Linked DNA regions of Mus musculus. The protein of the gene in region 3 purifies or fractionates together with the protein of the main gene of each other region. This does not show direct contact. Links are inferred from orthologs where the notes say so. Each region holds a gene or a part of one and is shown on either strand. Other genes may lie near its edges.

Evidence for each region.
Region 1: the proteins of Rab24 (region 3) and Gdi2 purify together in Homo sapiens (affinity purification with mass spectrometry; 3 studies listed by BioGRID and IntAct, with this or other methods). This does not show direct contact. The link is inferred for Mus musculus from reciprocal best matches to the Homo sapiens genes RAB24 and GDI2.
Region 2: the proteins of Rab24 (region 3) and Gdi1 purify together in Homo sapiens (affinity purification with mass spectrometry; 3 studies listed by BioGRID and IntAct, counting the BioPlex papers as one, with this or other methods). This does not show direct contact. The link is inferred for Mus musculus from reciprocal best matches to the Homo sapiens genes RAB24 and GDI1.

The regions. Positions count from the first base shown.
Region 1 is NC_000079.6:3,536,536-3,541,170, reverse strand, and holds the start of Gdi2 (rab GDP dissociation inhibitor beta), read right to left. Parts: upstream 3,097-4,635; 5' UTR 2,873-3,096; coding exon 2,828-2,872; intron 1-2,827. UniProt on the Homo sapiens protein: GDP-dissociation inhibitor preventing the GDP to GTP exchange of most Rab proteins. By keeping these small GTPases in their inactive GDP-bound form regulates intracellular membrane trafficking.
Region 2 is NC_000086.7:74,303,992-74,308,527, forward strand, and holds the start of Gdi1 (rab GDP dissociation inhibitor alpha), read left to right. Parts: upstream 1-1,020; 5' UTR 1,021-1,405; coding exon 1,406-1,450; intron 1,451-2,587; coding exon 2,588-2,695; intron 2,696-2,853; coding exon 2,854-2,953; intron 2,954-3,111; coding exon 3,112-3,246; intron 3,247-3,680; coding exon 3,681-3,879; intron 3,880-4,138; coding exon 4,139-4,270; intron 4,271-4,536. Other genes in the region: Atp6ap1 (V-type proton ATPase subunit S1 isoform 1 precursor), read left to right, coding at 1-15. UniProt on the Homo sapiens protein: Regulates the GDP/GTP exchange reaction of most Rab proteins by inhibiting the dissociation of GDP from them, and the subsequent binding of GTP to them. Promotes the dissociation of GDP-bound Rab proteins from the membrane and inhibits their activation.
Region 3 is NC_000079.6:55,318,684-55,323,318, forward strand, and holds Rab24 (ras-related protein Rab-24), read right to left. Parts: upstream 3,298-4,635; 5' UTR 2,972-3,297; coding exon 2,855-2,971; intron 2,776-2,854; coding exon 2,707-2,775; intron 2,498-2,706; coding exon 2,419-2,497; intron 2,312-2,418; coding exon 2,244-2,311; intron 2,162-2,243; coding exon 2,062-2,161; intron 1,871-2,061; coding exon 1,820-1,870; intron 1,692-1,819; coding exon 1,629-1,691; intron 1,554-1,628; coding exon of another isoform or gene 1,532-1,553; coding exon 1,467-1,531; coding exon of another isoform or gene 1,300-1,466; 3' UTR 540-1,299; downstream 1-539. Other genes in the region: Prelid1 (PRELI domain-containing protein 1, mitochondrial precursor), read left to right, coding at 3,507-3,598, 4,170-4,395.

The DNA.
Region 1 (4,635 bases), about 52 Mb from region 3:
TCTGCCATTTCTCATAGAAAACTAAAGGTCTTCTTTACTAAAGTAACTTTCAATGCGTGAGGATTAATGTGAAGTTAACTGATAGAAAAGAATGCCAACACCAAGCAACACTAAAGTAACAAGTTTCCTTCACTCAAAGTCCTTGACATAACAATAATATACATTTGGTATACACCCTTTTACTAGGTTCTGAAATCTCCAGCACTAAATGTCTACAAGCCAAACATTAATGCCATGTACATTCTGATATTCAAAGTTACATCTAATTTGTGGCTTTTAACTTTGACTGGGAGTCTCTTCAAGATTTAACCTAACTCAAGATTTCACCCAAGTTCTACTAATGTCATTTCTTATTGTCAACATCATTCTGCTATTACTGTGTCTATTAATGATGGTCCTATGATGATCACAAGCTACACTGATACAATTCTAAAACATTTCCCAGTATAGATCTAGGAAGGCCCAGTGAGAAACAAGGTTAGCATAGCTGTAAGACAGCAGAAACTGTTCTAAATTCTAGTTACTTATGTATCCACTACCCATTAAGAAATTCACAATTCAAGTGAAAATTTAAATAAAGGGTGTTACTTTGTTAAACAGACTGTGCTATCTTTGATACAAAATGATGCTTCTAAACTAGGCCTGTGGAAGCCTGCAGGAAGCCTCTGGGCTCACTTAGCTACACTCAACCCACCCTATTAATGGGCAAATGTGAAGTATTAGCAATGACAATATAAAAGAGAAATAATTGGCTCTCACAATATGCTGGCAGCCACAGGGCCCACTAACAGGCCACCATCACAAACTACTTACTATGCCCGGAACCCCCAATTAGGCACTAAAAAAGGTCAACCTGCAGAGAGCCCTGGGTAGTGATTAATTTAGCCATTCAAGTCTCCCCAACTGACGGGGTTGAGGGTGGGGGGTGGGTGTTCCAATGGCTGGGTGTGACAGTATGTGCCTTTTAATCCAAGCACTGACCAACTACTGGGAAGGCTAGAAGGTAGAAATATCTTTTAAATTCAGGGTCAGCCTGATCTATATAGGGAGTTCCAGTATAGCTAGGCTACAGAGAAAGATCTTGCCTCAAAAAAATAAAAGAAATTCAGTCATTCATTCAAAGTTAAGTAGATGGCCTTGTAGGTGAGCAATGATGTCTATCTCCAGTCTACTCTCTGGGCAGTCACATGTTACTGAGCCTTGAGCAGAACATCTTGGCCTTGCCTTTCATCCCAACACCCAGAAGGCAGGGATAGGCAGAGCTCTGCATTCCTGGACAACCAGAGCTACAAGGTGAGAACTTGTCAGAATTCAATAATCTCTTCTAGCAATCATTCATCACTTCAAAGAGAAAAATAAGCTTTTCCTAAAAGTATTAAAAGAAAAAAAGTAGAATAAAAAATCTTGAAGGTTTTCTCTAAAACAGTTATTTCCGAGTATTTTATCTTAAAGATATTAATTTGATTCTAAGAAATGCCAATGCAAGCTGGGCGGTGGTGGAGGCAGAGACAGGCGAATTTCTGAGTTCGAGGCCAGCCTGGTCTACAAAGTGAGTTCCAGGACAGCCAGGGCTACTTAGAGAAACCCTGTCTCGAGGAAAAAAAAAAAAAAGAAAGAAAGAAATGCCAATGCATTTCAACAAAGTCGAAAGCCGTGGGGCTCTTATTAAATGACTTGGACATTTGATGGATAGACATATGGGATCCATACATCAATGTTCCAGATGAAGTAATTTACCCATAATTTCACATTCAATACCCCCCCCACACACACACACCGCAATTGATATTCAAAATGGTCGGTTCTCTTCCCAACTCCTTTTTGCAAAAGATCAGCCCTTTTGTCACAGTGGGGGGCCGGGGGGAAAGCACAAAGTATAAAAACCTGTCTATATTTTTCCCATATTTAAGCAGATAGATACTGACGAAAACGTACTGGAGCATTAGGGACCGCCTTACATTTACATACCAGTACATTCACACTGCGCATTTATTTTCTAACCTCCCAGAAGTGTAACAAGTACAGAGAACTTAGCCTCCCCCTTCTCAAGAAACTGTGGCGGCACGCAATAAACCAAACAAAAGGGAAGCACGGGCCGGACGTGAAAAGTATTTAACAGACAAGTTTTGAGAAAATTCATTTCCCATTTCAAGCGAGTGGATGAGAGGGCAGTGAAGCAATTAGAAAAAGGGTGTTTGTTTTTTTCCTAAAGAAACTCGTTTCATGATTTTCTCTAGAAACTTAAGTTGGCCAAACTCTAGGACAAATTATCGATCAGCGATCATCCTTCTGTTTGGCTTTCTGCGCCCTGAGACTAGCTGAGTAAGCTGCTGCTGCTGCTGCTGCTGCTGCTACTCGCCACTTACATAGGAAGTGCAGGCGCCAGCAGCGACTCCCTCCCGCTCGGTCCAGGGCTTGCCTGCTTCCAAGCGGGAGAGGTCATTCACCCAAAGGGGAAGTGCAAGGAGCACAAGCTGTTTTCCCGGTCCTCTTCCTTCCTGCAGGAGGACGAGGCTGTCTCTCTCCGGCTGCTGGGCGGTTCTGCCCTCAACTTCCCAATGGGCAGGCTTCCCACGGACACGTCCCGGCTTCCACATCCTGGTTTTCCCTAACACACTACCGACGCCTTCAAATCACTGCATCCCAACAAGCCACGACCTCCCTATCCCAGACTCAACGCGGGCGAGTGGGGACGGCCCCCAAGGGGGCGCAGACACCGGCAGTTCGGGCGCGGGCGAGGCTCGTGCACACCGATGGGACCCGCCCTCGCCCCCGGGCCCGGCGGAGGCCGGCCGGCCGCGTCTCCCCGCAGCCCGCCGCAGCTCACCGTCAGGCCGGTGCCCAGCACGATCACGTCGTATTCCTCATTCATGGCGGGGAAAGGAGCGCACGCGGGGGCTCGGAGGCCGCCGTAGAGAAGGGAGCGAGAAGTCCGGCCGCTCTGGGCCCCGGGGGTCGGGGGGAAAGGGAAAAAGCGAGGAGAGGAAAAACGGAGCTGAGGAGGAGGAGAGGCCGGCCGCCACCTCAACGGGAAGAGAAGAGCAGGGAGGGGAGGGAGGGGAGGCGGGGAGAGCGCGGGGTGAGGAGAGCGAGCTCCGGCGCCGGGGCGGGGCGTGCGAGAGGCCGACGGCGCCGTCAGTCAAGGGGATCCTGCTCTCTCATTGGTGAATTTCCTTAACCCCACCTCTCCCCCCCTCGTTCCCCTCTCGCGAGAGAAGGGCGGACTGCTGCCATCTTGGCTTCCGGTTTTGCGCTTTTTTTTTTTTTTTTTTTTTAAATTTCACCCGTCTTGTGCTCCTGTGGTATGGGCGGCGACATGCGAAGCTGAGGGTCTAGTTGAATAGGAGGAACAAGGCGGAAACTGCAGCTGGGCTACCACGTGCCTGACTCTCGCGCCAAGGTGTGAGATGGAGCACGGTTGTTTAGGCTTCGGGCCACGGAGCCCAAGCTCCGCCCTTGGGACTTTGAGAGGTGTACGTGCATCGCCCTGGCCGAGCGGGGCCAAGTCGTGAGGACGCCAGCCTCTCCGAAGGTTGGCAGCCTCGTTGCCTCTGCAGCTTGGCTCCTGGCCCTGCCCCTGCCCCTGCCCGCGCGGGGCTGGGAAGACCTCAGGATTCTGTGTGCCCTGCTTTAAACTTGTATGGTTCTGTTCGAACAAATAAATGTGTTCTAAACTGGTATCCATGCTTTAGGTAAAATGTGGTCCAGAATGGCTTTCCTATATAATGCTCCGCATTCTAGCTTGTGATGCAAAGCAGGTTATAAATTTAAGAGTTGATAACCCTGGTACCCAAGCAACTGGGCTTCAACTAGTCTCTCAGGCTGAAGGCTGCCAAAATGTGCTTATAAAGGCAAATGCTGAATTGCACTATATTTTGTATGTTTGCTGTGTTTCAGCCTCTACATGCAATTACCACACTAGAGGTGGGGCTTCTGAACCATCTTTGGTGTGCTGCCTGGTTCTGGATCCTGATCCTTGTTAAAACTTTGTTGAATCTAATTAATTTCAGAGTTGTTTTGTTTTGTTTGGACAACAGAATTGTCAGGGTGCAAAGTAGACCTTCCAGTAACCCTCAGGACCATTAAAGCAACATTTGCAGGCCCCTTGGACATCAAGCTCCACTGGCTTTGAACTAGCTGTGCTGTGCCTCGGCCCTTAGCACACACCTTTAATCTTGCTGGAATACAGGCACACCCTAAGTGCACACCTTTGATTCCAAAGGTAAAACTAGTTTATTAGAAGGAAGCACCCATGTTTAACAGTGATGTCTAATTGAGTGGCTTGACTGAATCAGAGAAAGGTTTGCCAGGTTATACCCAGCTCTCAAAAGAGAGAGGGAAGGGAAGCTATTTAAGAGGCAGTACAGAAGAGGAGGAGGAAGCAGTTTTACTGTGACAGTTATAAAGGGACAGGTTGCAGAGAGGACAAATTAGACACAAGTAAAGACAGAATGAGTCAAAGAAGAGGCGAAAAACCAAAACAGATTGCTATAGTTAAAGGTCAAGCAGAGCAATTCGGAAGAAGCAGAGAGGAGCCAGATTGAATCAGTCAGCTTGGAGAGGAGTTTGAACCAGAACAGCTGAGTTGAACCATCCAGCCAGAGTTCAGAAAGAACTAGAAAGGGTGAGTTTATT
Region 2 (4,536 bases), on a different chromosome or scaffold from region 3:
ACCCAGATTGTGTGACATACACCTGAGAGGAATTGAGGGAGTATTGGTGTCTAGGTTGTCATGTTTCTGTTTTGTGACACAGTGGATGGAAAGGTTTGTCCTCTTCCTACTATAGCATGAACCCTACATACGCCACCCTCAGTCTCTCTTGCTTCCTCTTTAACCCGGAGAGGGACTCCCCTGTGGCTATCCCCCATCTCTACCAACAAAGTGTATTCTTCATAGATATTAGATAAATCTTCCAGGCTTCATCATCAAGAGGGGAAGGGACCTTAATTCTAGGGTCTCCCCTTTACCCTCTCTCCTTATTTATTCTTGCCCCTCTGCTATTATTCCTTGCTGTTTATAGTGCTTTTGTGTAGTAAATGCTCACTCCCCAAGCTTTATGGAGCTTCCAGCAACAGCCATGAACTTGAGGTTCCTTGAATTTGCGAGGTGTGGAAAGACTACTTGACTGTCTGTCCAGCTTAGCTGTTATGTTTTTTGGGGGGGAGGGGTGATGTGTTAAGAGTGAGTGGTACACTGGGGTTTATTTCTGTGGCCTGGGAAGGAAGAAACCATCACGAGGATTGGTGAACAAAGTGTGCTCACTGGGTTTCTGGATTATTCCCATAAAGACTGCCTGTCAAGAGGCCGGAGGTGTGTGTGGGGGGTTGCTCTGTTGTTTCCTTCCTAATAAAATAAAGACGTGTTGCCTTGTGTTGGGCTTCGTGTCACTCATTTCTGCACTGAACAGTAGATTTTTTTTTCTTGACTGAAGGGAAGAAGTGCTCAGATGTAGTCCAGTCATGCAAGAGGTGAGAGAGGAAGGGTGGGAGGGTCTTCAGTAAGCTGATACTCTTAACAAACCTACTTAGAGTAGAGGCTTGTTACTTTTCCTGGCCTTGGGAGGAATCCTGACAATGGTAGCTCCGCTACTGTGCAACAACACACAGCAGGGCTTCCATACCTTGTGTTTCTCCCAGGGGGCGGTACGGGAGCGCGCGGGGCGGGGCGGGGCGCGCGCGGCTCCCGCGCAAGGATCTTTCGGAGGACTCAGCACCTGCTGCCGGCCTGCCCCGCCCCGTATTTTTCTGGGCTCACGAAGAGCCCCGATAACCCCTGCAGTCATTCTGGTGCTGGGACCCAGGTGACAGAAGCCCTCCCAGAAAACAAGCAAGGAAATGATGACTGGTTGGGCGGGGCGGGGCCAGCGGAGAGAGAGAGGGACTCATTAACGCTGCGTAGGGATCAGGAGACAACCGACAGACGCCATCTTTGGTTCAGTGCGGCGGCAGTGACAGAAGCAGCGGCAGGGGCAGCAGCAGCAGCGGCAGTAGCAGCAGTAGCAATAGTAGAGGTAGTGGTAGCGGCTGCTGTGGTGAAGGAGGAGGAGCAGAGCGGACGCTGGTACCAAGGCCTGATCATGGATGAGGAATACGATGTGATTGTGCTGGGGACAGGTCTTACCGTAAGTGCCACTTCAGGCTCTCATAGCCCTGCATCATGCCATCCCTCCCCACCCCACGCCATCCCTCCCCACCCCACTCCATCCCGCATTGATGCAGAGTCCGGTATCCGATCCATCCTCCCATCATCCTAGCTCCAGCCCTGGGAAAACCAACCCCATGCCCAACCCACTACCTCACCCTAGGATGTCGATTCCAGTTCCCAATTCTCTGTAGAGGGCCCCACTTTGTCCTGTGTTCCTGCACTCTAGTACTTAACCTCAGACCCCTATTCTTCCCTATCTCTATCACCGAGGTGGAAAACTCACCCCCCCACACACACAGTGGAACCATTGCACCCAGCCCCCACCCTTTGCCTGAACTCATCACCTGCTCCAAGGCCTTGATTAGCATCCCTTACCATCTTGTGATCAAACTAGGGGATGGAATATGAAGATGGGTATGGGGACATTACAAGGGTGGGCCCTCATCATGCTTTTCTGCTTTTTGGGATGGGATAGGAAACCCATGGAATGTTCCAGAGACAGCAGGAGTGTGTGTGTGGGGGGTGTGGGGGGGGGGTAGTGACCACTTTACCTCTGCCCCAACTTGGTTTCCCATGGAGATCTCAGACTGAATATATATCCTCAGCCTTTGTCCTTGGGTTAGTGACTGACTGGTGAGGGTGTTTGTCTCTTCCCTGCCCCCGCCCCCCCCAACCCCCACCCCCGGCCTAAATCTTTTTAGTTTGAACCCTGAGTCTAGACCAGTGGATAGGGCCAGAAGAGAGTCAGGGGCTCCTGCCCTTTGAAGGAGGAGCAGGGTGGGGCCTGGGATTTCAAGGACTTGGCCTTCTCTTTCAAAGGTCCTTTGAATTGGTTCTTCTTGTAGACTCATTGTCTTTTTGTGGGCTCAGAGAAGTAGATACTTCTCTTGGCTTGTTGATGCTGGAAGACTTGGAAGCTGAAAGCTCTGCCCCCCAAACCTCCTTTAATGCTCCAGTAGTTTACTCAGCAGGGTTGTAAAGGAAACATCATATGAAGCCATCTTCTCCTCCCCAGTTTTAGGCACTGAAAAGAGCTGCATTATAAAATTGGTGGTGGGCATGAAGCAAGTTGGAGGGTTATGGGGTATAGCTGCAAATGTCACTCCTTCCCCAGGAATGCATCCTGTCTGGCATCATGTCTGTGAATGGAAAGAAGGTGCTGCACATGGACCGAAACCCCTACTATGGGGGTGAGAGCTCTTCCATCACACCCCTGGAGGAGGTAAGATTTCTTATTCTTAGACCTGGGCTTAGACCCAGATCCTTGTTAGTCTTCCACATAGGTATAAGGGGGCGAAGTAATTCTCAGGTACTGGGCAGGAGAGTGGGAAAGGGCGACAGGTCCTTGACATTTTTCTTTCTTTCCTGTCCTGCTTACAGCTATATAAGCGCTTTCAGATACTGGAAGGGCCCCCTGAATCAATGGGCCGGGGCCGAGACTGGAATGTTGACTTGATCCCCAAATTCCTCATGGCCAATGGTGAGAGAGATTAAAAAGATGCTGTATATGGTTTTGGGGGTGGTGAGTGGGAAGACGGAGTGGGGAGAGATTGGTCAATCTCAAGAATATGGTCAGTCAGACTACTGAGAGTTTTTGAAGGAAAACACAACAATGTCCCTTATTTCCTCTGGACACAGGTCAGCTGGTAAAGATGCTACTATATACAGAAGTGACTCGATATCTGGACTTCAAGGTGGTAGAGGGCAGCTTTGTATATAAGGGGGGCAAGATCTACAAAGTGCCATCCACCGAGACTGAGGCCTTGGCTTCTAGTGAGTATGAGTCTCCTTAACCAGAGAATAATGGGGCTGGATGAGACAGACTATTTTCAGGACAGTTAGGCAAAAGGCTCATCTTTGCCTGAAACTAATCTTAGCTCTGTGTAGTCCTAGAGGACCCTTACTTTATAGTGTATTGATTGGACAGTGCTACCCATCCTGGCAAGTTGCCAGAAAGTTCACAGAACAGGATTCCTTTTTGTCAGAGGGCCTACTTGCCCTGTAGCATCCCTACGTGGAACTAGAAGGGTTTCTTCCTACAAAAAGAAAATTGAGATCAAGAAGGGTGGGGTAGTGTTACATGATAGAGTATTGGTGGGAGCCAATACTCTACATTACATACAACCAGCTTTCTTGGCCTGCTCTGGTGGAAAGAGGAGTTCTATGTCCCAGTAATGCTAAGGGTCTTCTCAATACCTTTCTTTCAGATCTGATGGGCATGTTTGAAAAACGACGCTTCCGAAAATTTTTGGTGTTTGTGGCAAACTTTGATGAGAATGACCCCAAAACCTTTGAGGGTGTTGATCCCCAGAACACCAGCATGCGTGATGTCTACCGGAAGTTTGACCTGGGTCAAGATGTCATAGATTTCACTGGCCATGCCTTGGCGCTCTACCGCACTGATGAGTGAGGGGAAAGCTGGCTGGTGATGGGAGCCCCTTCTCTGGCTCACACCTTGCCCTCCCCACACCTGCCTATTGTACCTACTGCCCACCCTGCATGTCTCTTGTGCTCAGCTCCAGACTCACCTGTTCCATTTCAGTCCCTCTCCATTTGACCCACATCTTTGCCAGGTCACAAAGGGTGGTGGGAAGGTTGGCTGGTGTCTTTGTAGGTGAGCAAGGATGCCGCTGCCAAAGCATCTTCCTTGGCTCTTGTTCCCCAGCTACCTGGATCAGCCCTGTCTTGAGACTATTAACCGCATCAAGTTGTACAGCGAGTCCCTGGCCCGGTATGGCAAGAGCCCCTATTTATACCCACTGTATGGCCTGGGTGAGCTGCCCCAGGGCTTTGCCAGGTGAGGATCTGTCTTTTTCGGATAGTATTACTAGTAAGACTAAGGCCAAGAATGAAAATTACCTTGAATATTTTTGAGGCATCTCCTACTTTCCCATCTAATTTTCATGTATATTATTCCATCCCTGGGTAATGGGGGCACTGCGCTAGTGCATTAAAAAGCAGAGTAGAGGCTGGAGAAATGGCTCAGCAGATAAGAGCACTTGTTTATACCGAGGATCCAGGTTCAGTTCCAATGTGAACATACATGGTAGTTCACAACCACCC
Region 3 (4,635 bases):
ATGGGACCAGGTTGGGGATTCTGAAATCTTCAAAGGCAAGTTTGAAGACTCAGGCTTAAGAGGGAAAGCAGAGGCAAAGGTAGAACCCTAGTTGAGCCCACATCCTCACCAATAACTGGAAAGGGTTGTAATACACTTCCTCTTGCTTAAACGGGAAGTATTAGCCCTTTTTACATGAGCACATAGCTTTTCAGTGTTTCTGATCCTGAATAAGTTAGCAGTTGCCTTATTTTTCTTATTCTTTAATGAGTTTTTTTGAGGGGTGGGCTGTTACTATGCAGCTGTGGTGGCCTGCAACTCAAAAGCCTACCTGCCTTTGCATCCAGGGTGCTAGAATTAAAGGCACAGGCCACCATTCCATCTTTTTATTTTTTGGTTTCTCTGTATAGCCTTGGCTGTCCTGGAACTCACTCTGTAGACCAGGCTGGCCTTGAACTCCGAAATCCACCTGTCCCTGCCTCCCAAGTGCTTAGTGGGATTAAAGGTGTGCGCCACCACTGCCCAGCCACCATTCCATCTTAAAGCCCTTTTTTATTTTTCACAATAGTTTTCACGGTGTAGTCCTGGCTGAACTGGGAATCAGTCTGTAGACCATGCTGGTCTTAAACTTGGAGATCTGCTGCCTCTGCCTCTAGAGTGCAGTGAGTAAAGGTTTGGAAGCTTCAAGGCCTTTTTCTAAGTTAGCAACTAAATTGGATGCATAAGACCTTTTTGAGTTATAGAAAGATGGAGTTGCCTCTTGTTGCGTACATTATAGGGTTTCACTGGGAAGCTTAGGACTGAGTCACACCCCTGAGCACAGGTTCAGACATAACACAACAGGTAGAGCTGGCCTAACCAACTCGTCTTGAGGTTGATGTACCCAAGCCTTTTGTCTCTGGGCACAGCTGAGGTGCTTTCCTTCGTCTTCTCCTGAACTTTGTACTTTTCCATCCCAGCCTCAACCTATCTTCACCCCCACAAAAGAAAAAAAGTGATATAGTTCTTGCCTAGTATGTTAGAAGCCCTGGTATTTGCTCTACACTCAGACATGTAAGCACTAATAAAAAGGCCATAAGAAAAAGAGCCCATTGTTTATCCATGGTTTCAGTGATAGTCTTAGGAAACTGTTACTTGGTTCCAGATGGAAGTCTTCATATAAGTGAGGCCCACGTGGCCCCAGGAACAACTAGGTGTTTTGACACCCAGTGCACACAGCAAGGAAATGCATCAATTTTATTTACAGTTCAGAAGCTACTTAAATAGTCTGGACAGAAGCCTGGGATTCAAGTCAGCCCTTACTCCTCCTCATGCCCACAGTCAGCCCAATACTTCCTCCGTTCCATGGGCCAGCACAGGCAGGTGCCACCTCTGCTGTGAGAGGCACCTGGAATAGCTCAGACGCTTGACCATTCCAGCCCAGACAAGAGTCAGGTCCAGCCCCTCTGGGAATTCATCTAATTCCACTGGGCCAGATGAGTGGTGACTCAGTGATGACAACAGCTGTAGAAGTAAGGGTTTGCCTTCTGGCTCAAATCCACACCTTTGTCCTCTGTCAAAGAGAGGAGAGGTGACTGCTCAGCACTACTATTATGTCGGGGCATCAAGTAGGTCACCAAGAAGGCTGGGGACCATGAGGAAGTACACACCTGTCATCACCTGGAAAGCAGCCACACTGACGTAATCCTCAGCCACTTTCTGGAAGAGTTCATCTGGCAAGCAAAGAATCAGTGAGGGCCTGAGACCAGCAGCCCTGGGTATCCCAGTGGCCCAGCCCTCTGAACCTTTCTGCTCTACTGTCCTGCCTGTTCCTGCTGACAGGACCCAAGACAACACTCACCCACACTTTGGCCTGTCTTGCTGGATGTTTCAAAGAGTTGGGCTTTGATATCTGCAAAGAGAAGTGACTGTCTTCACACTTGGGGAGCACACCTAAATGTAGCTAACAGTTCAGTCTCCTGAACCACACAGGTTCAAGAAGGCCAGAAAGCAACCAAGACTGTCATTCCCATCTTTGAAATACACTCAGGCAGATAGTACCCGCCCCCAAGCCCCCATCCTCAGAGACTTAAAAACAGCTACTATCGGCATAGTCCTGAACATCATGGAAGTCTACACGACGGCGCCGCCTGTCTTCCTCCAGCAGGTCACTCTTAGTGCCACACAGGTAGATTTGACAGCCCTGTAGCAGAAGACAAGGCTGAGATTATCTCCACAGACCAATACAGTCTCTGTCCCTACTCTTGTGATATCTGGCCACCTACCTCTTCTAAACTGCGCAGCTCCTTAACCCAGAACTTGGCTCTCTCAAAGCTGCTGCTGTCAGTGAGGTCTTGGTAAGGGTAAGGCAAGAGACACATAAAGATCAGCGGCTTCCCTCTGATGCTGGCCTGTAACCTAACCCTTACTACTTGAACACGCCAGAATTCAACCCCTTACCATAACAGACAATTGCAGCTTTAGCACCCCGGTAATAGATTCTGCTCATGGCTTCGTAGCGCTCGGAACCTGCTGTGTCCTGAGGGGTGAAAGGAGTTAATAAGCTCCTTCACAAGACTACAAAATAGGCCCCATCTTCCAGACAACCCCCCCTCCTTTTTTTAGACGAGTAAATGGGTGTGAGGAAGGAAAAACGACCTCTATGAGGCTCCAGTTGGCTGGTTTAAGAGGCAAGACATTAAATTCGGGAGACAGGTTTGCACAAGACTCTGTTCTCAAGGGACTTACCCAAATGCCCAGAGTCACCGTCCGGTCTCCAACGCACATCACCTTGGCCACGAAAGCAGCCCCGATGGTCTACAACCAGGGAAGAGATAAGTGTGGAATACTGGCCGGACCCCTTCCTCCCATGCCTGCTCCGCAGGGGTGCACTCACGTTCTGATAGGGCCCCACCAAGAAGCGGTCGTGCACGTATCGTTCCACCAGGCTCGTCTTGCCCACGTATTCCTTGCCCAGCATAACCACCTTAACGTCCACGCGCTGCCCGCTCATGCTCCCTGGGCCGCCTCACCCACTTCAGGGTCCGCGCGGCCCAGGCAGAGCCCAAGCCTCAGACCCCAACCCCAAGGGCCTCGCACCTCGCAGGCCCCTGGCGCCTCGGCCCGGGGCGCTCCGTCCTTTGCAGAGCCGCGGCGCGGGGACGCGGACAGCGCCCTCCACCGCGCCGCAGAGCCCTGCGGTGCTCACCCGCGCGACCGCCGCTGCGCCCGAAGCTCCGCTGCGCCGGGGTTACCGACTGAATCTGGGGTCCTCGTAGCTAACTCCAAACAGCACCTCTGGGACTGGAAGCCAAGAGGCGGGACGCCCGGTCACGTGACGCGGGCGCCGGAAGTGGCCGATCCTATGCATCCGGCGCCGGAAGCGTCGTGCAGTCCTATAACCCCTGATGGCGGCGGTAGGGACCTGGGCGCGGTCCTGCGGAGATTGAGCTGCGAGCCTGGCGGGCGTGCGCCTAGCCACGTCCCCCCCACCCCCGGGCTCTTCACCCTGATGCTGCACGGGTGCTGAGCCCGTCCGGGTCGGGACGATGGTGAAGTATTTCCTGGGCCAGAGCGTGCTCCGAAGTTCCTGGGACCAAGTGTTCGCCGCCTTCTGGCAACGGTACCCGAATCCCTATAGGTACGTGGCGTTGGGTAGAGCGAGTCGCCTTCCTCTCTTCTTCTGGAGATCGCACCGTAGGCTGTCCTTCAATAGTGGAGTTTGAAAGACTGGACAGAGTCCGATGTGGGCTATCTGCGGAACTGTGGCCACAGTTATAGCACAAAATCCTTATAGGATTAGAATCAGTCCAAGCCTCCAAAGTCCTCGAAGAAGATTGTCTAGTTTGTGATTTATATTGGGCTCTAGATTTCTATTTTGCAGTCCAAAGGTGGTTGGACAGGAAGAGGCGGCAGCACGGGAGTTGAGCGGTATTTCGGGGCCAGAAATCCTGAGGATGGTTTGCTTACCTGCTGCTGGCGCTCTCTAGTGGTATAATTCTTGAGATTTTGCTCGCTTTGGAGAGCCACAGAATCCATGTCGGGTGGAGGAGGGAGTTGGAATTTGCCCGGGGATAGGTTCAGTGTACTCTAATTCTGAACCCGGGCACAGATCACAGATTGCAGGCAGCCATGACCTGGAGGCGCTAAATAGGAACCAGTAGACATGCTGTCAAGAGCAGGCTCCTGAGAATCATCTTTAACTCTTGCAGCAAACATGTCTTAACCGAAGACATAGTGCACCGGGAGGTGACCCCCGACCAGAAGCTACTGTCCCGGAGACTCCTGACCAAGACCAACAGGATGCCACGTTGGGCAGAGCGACTGTTTCCTGCCAACGTTGCTCACTCCGTGTACATCCTGGAGGACTCTATTGTGGACCCCCAGAATCAGACCATGACCACCTTCACCTGGAACATCAACCATGCCCGGCTGATGGTGAGACTTCCTTTGCTCCCTCAAAATAGTTGCCCTTCAGATTTCAGGCAAGAGAGTTGTGGGAACTTCTGTGGCCAGAGGCAGGCCTAAAATACCAATGAGCTGCATCTCTAGAGTTCTGCCCTTAGATTGGTCTACCCTTTCGATTGGTCAGATTCTCTGGGACTGTCCCTTGGCTCTCAGATGGTGGGGAAAGACACCCCTGTTCTTTTTTTCTTTTTTTTTTTCCCCGAGACAGGG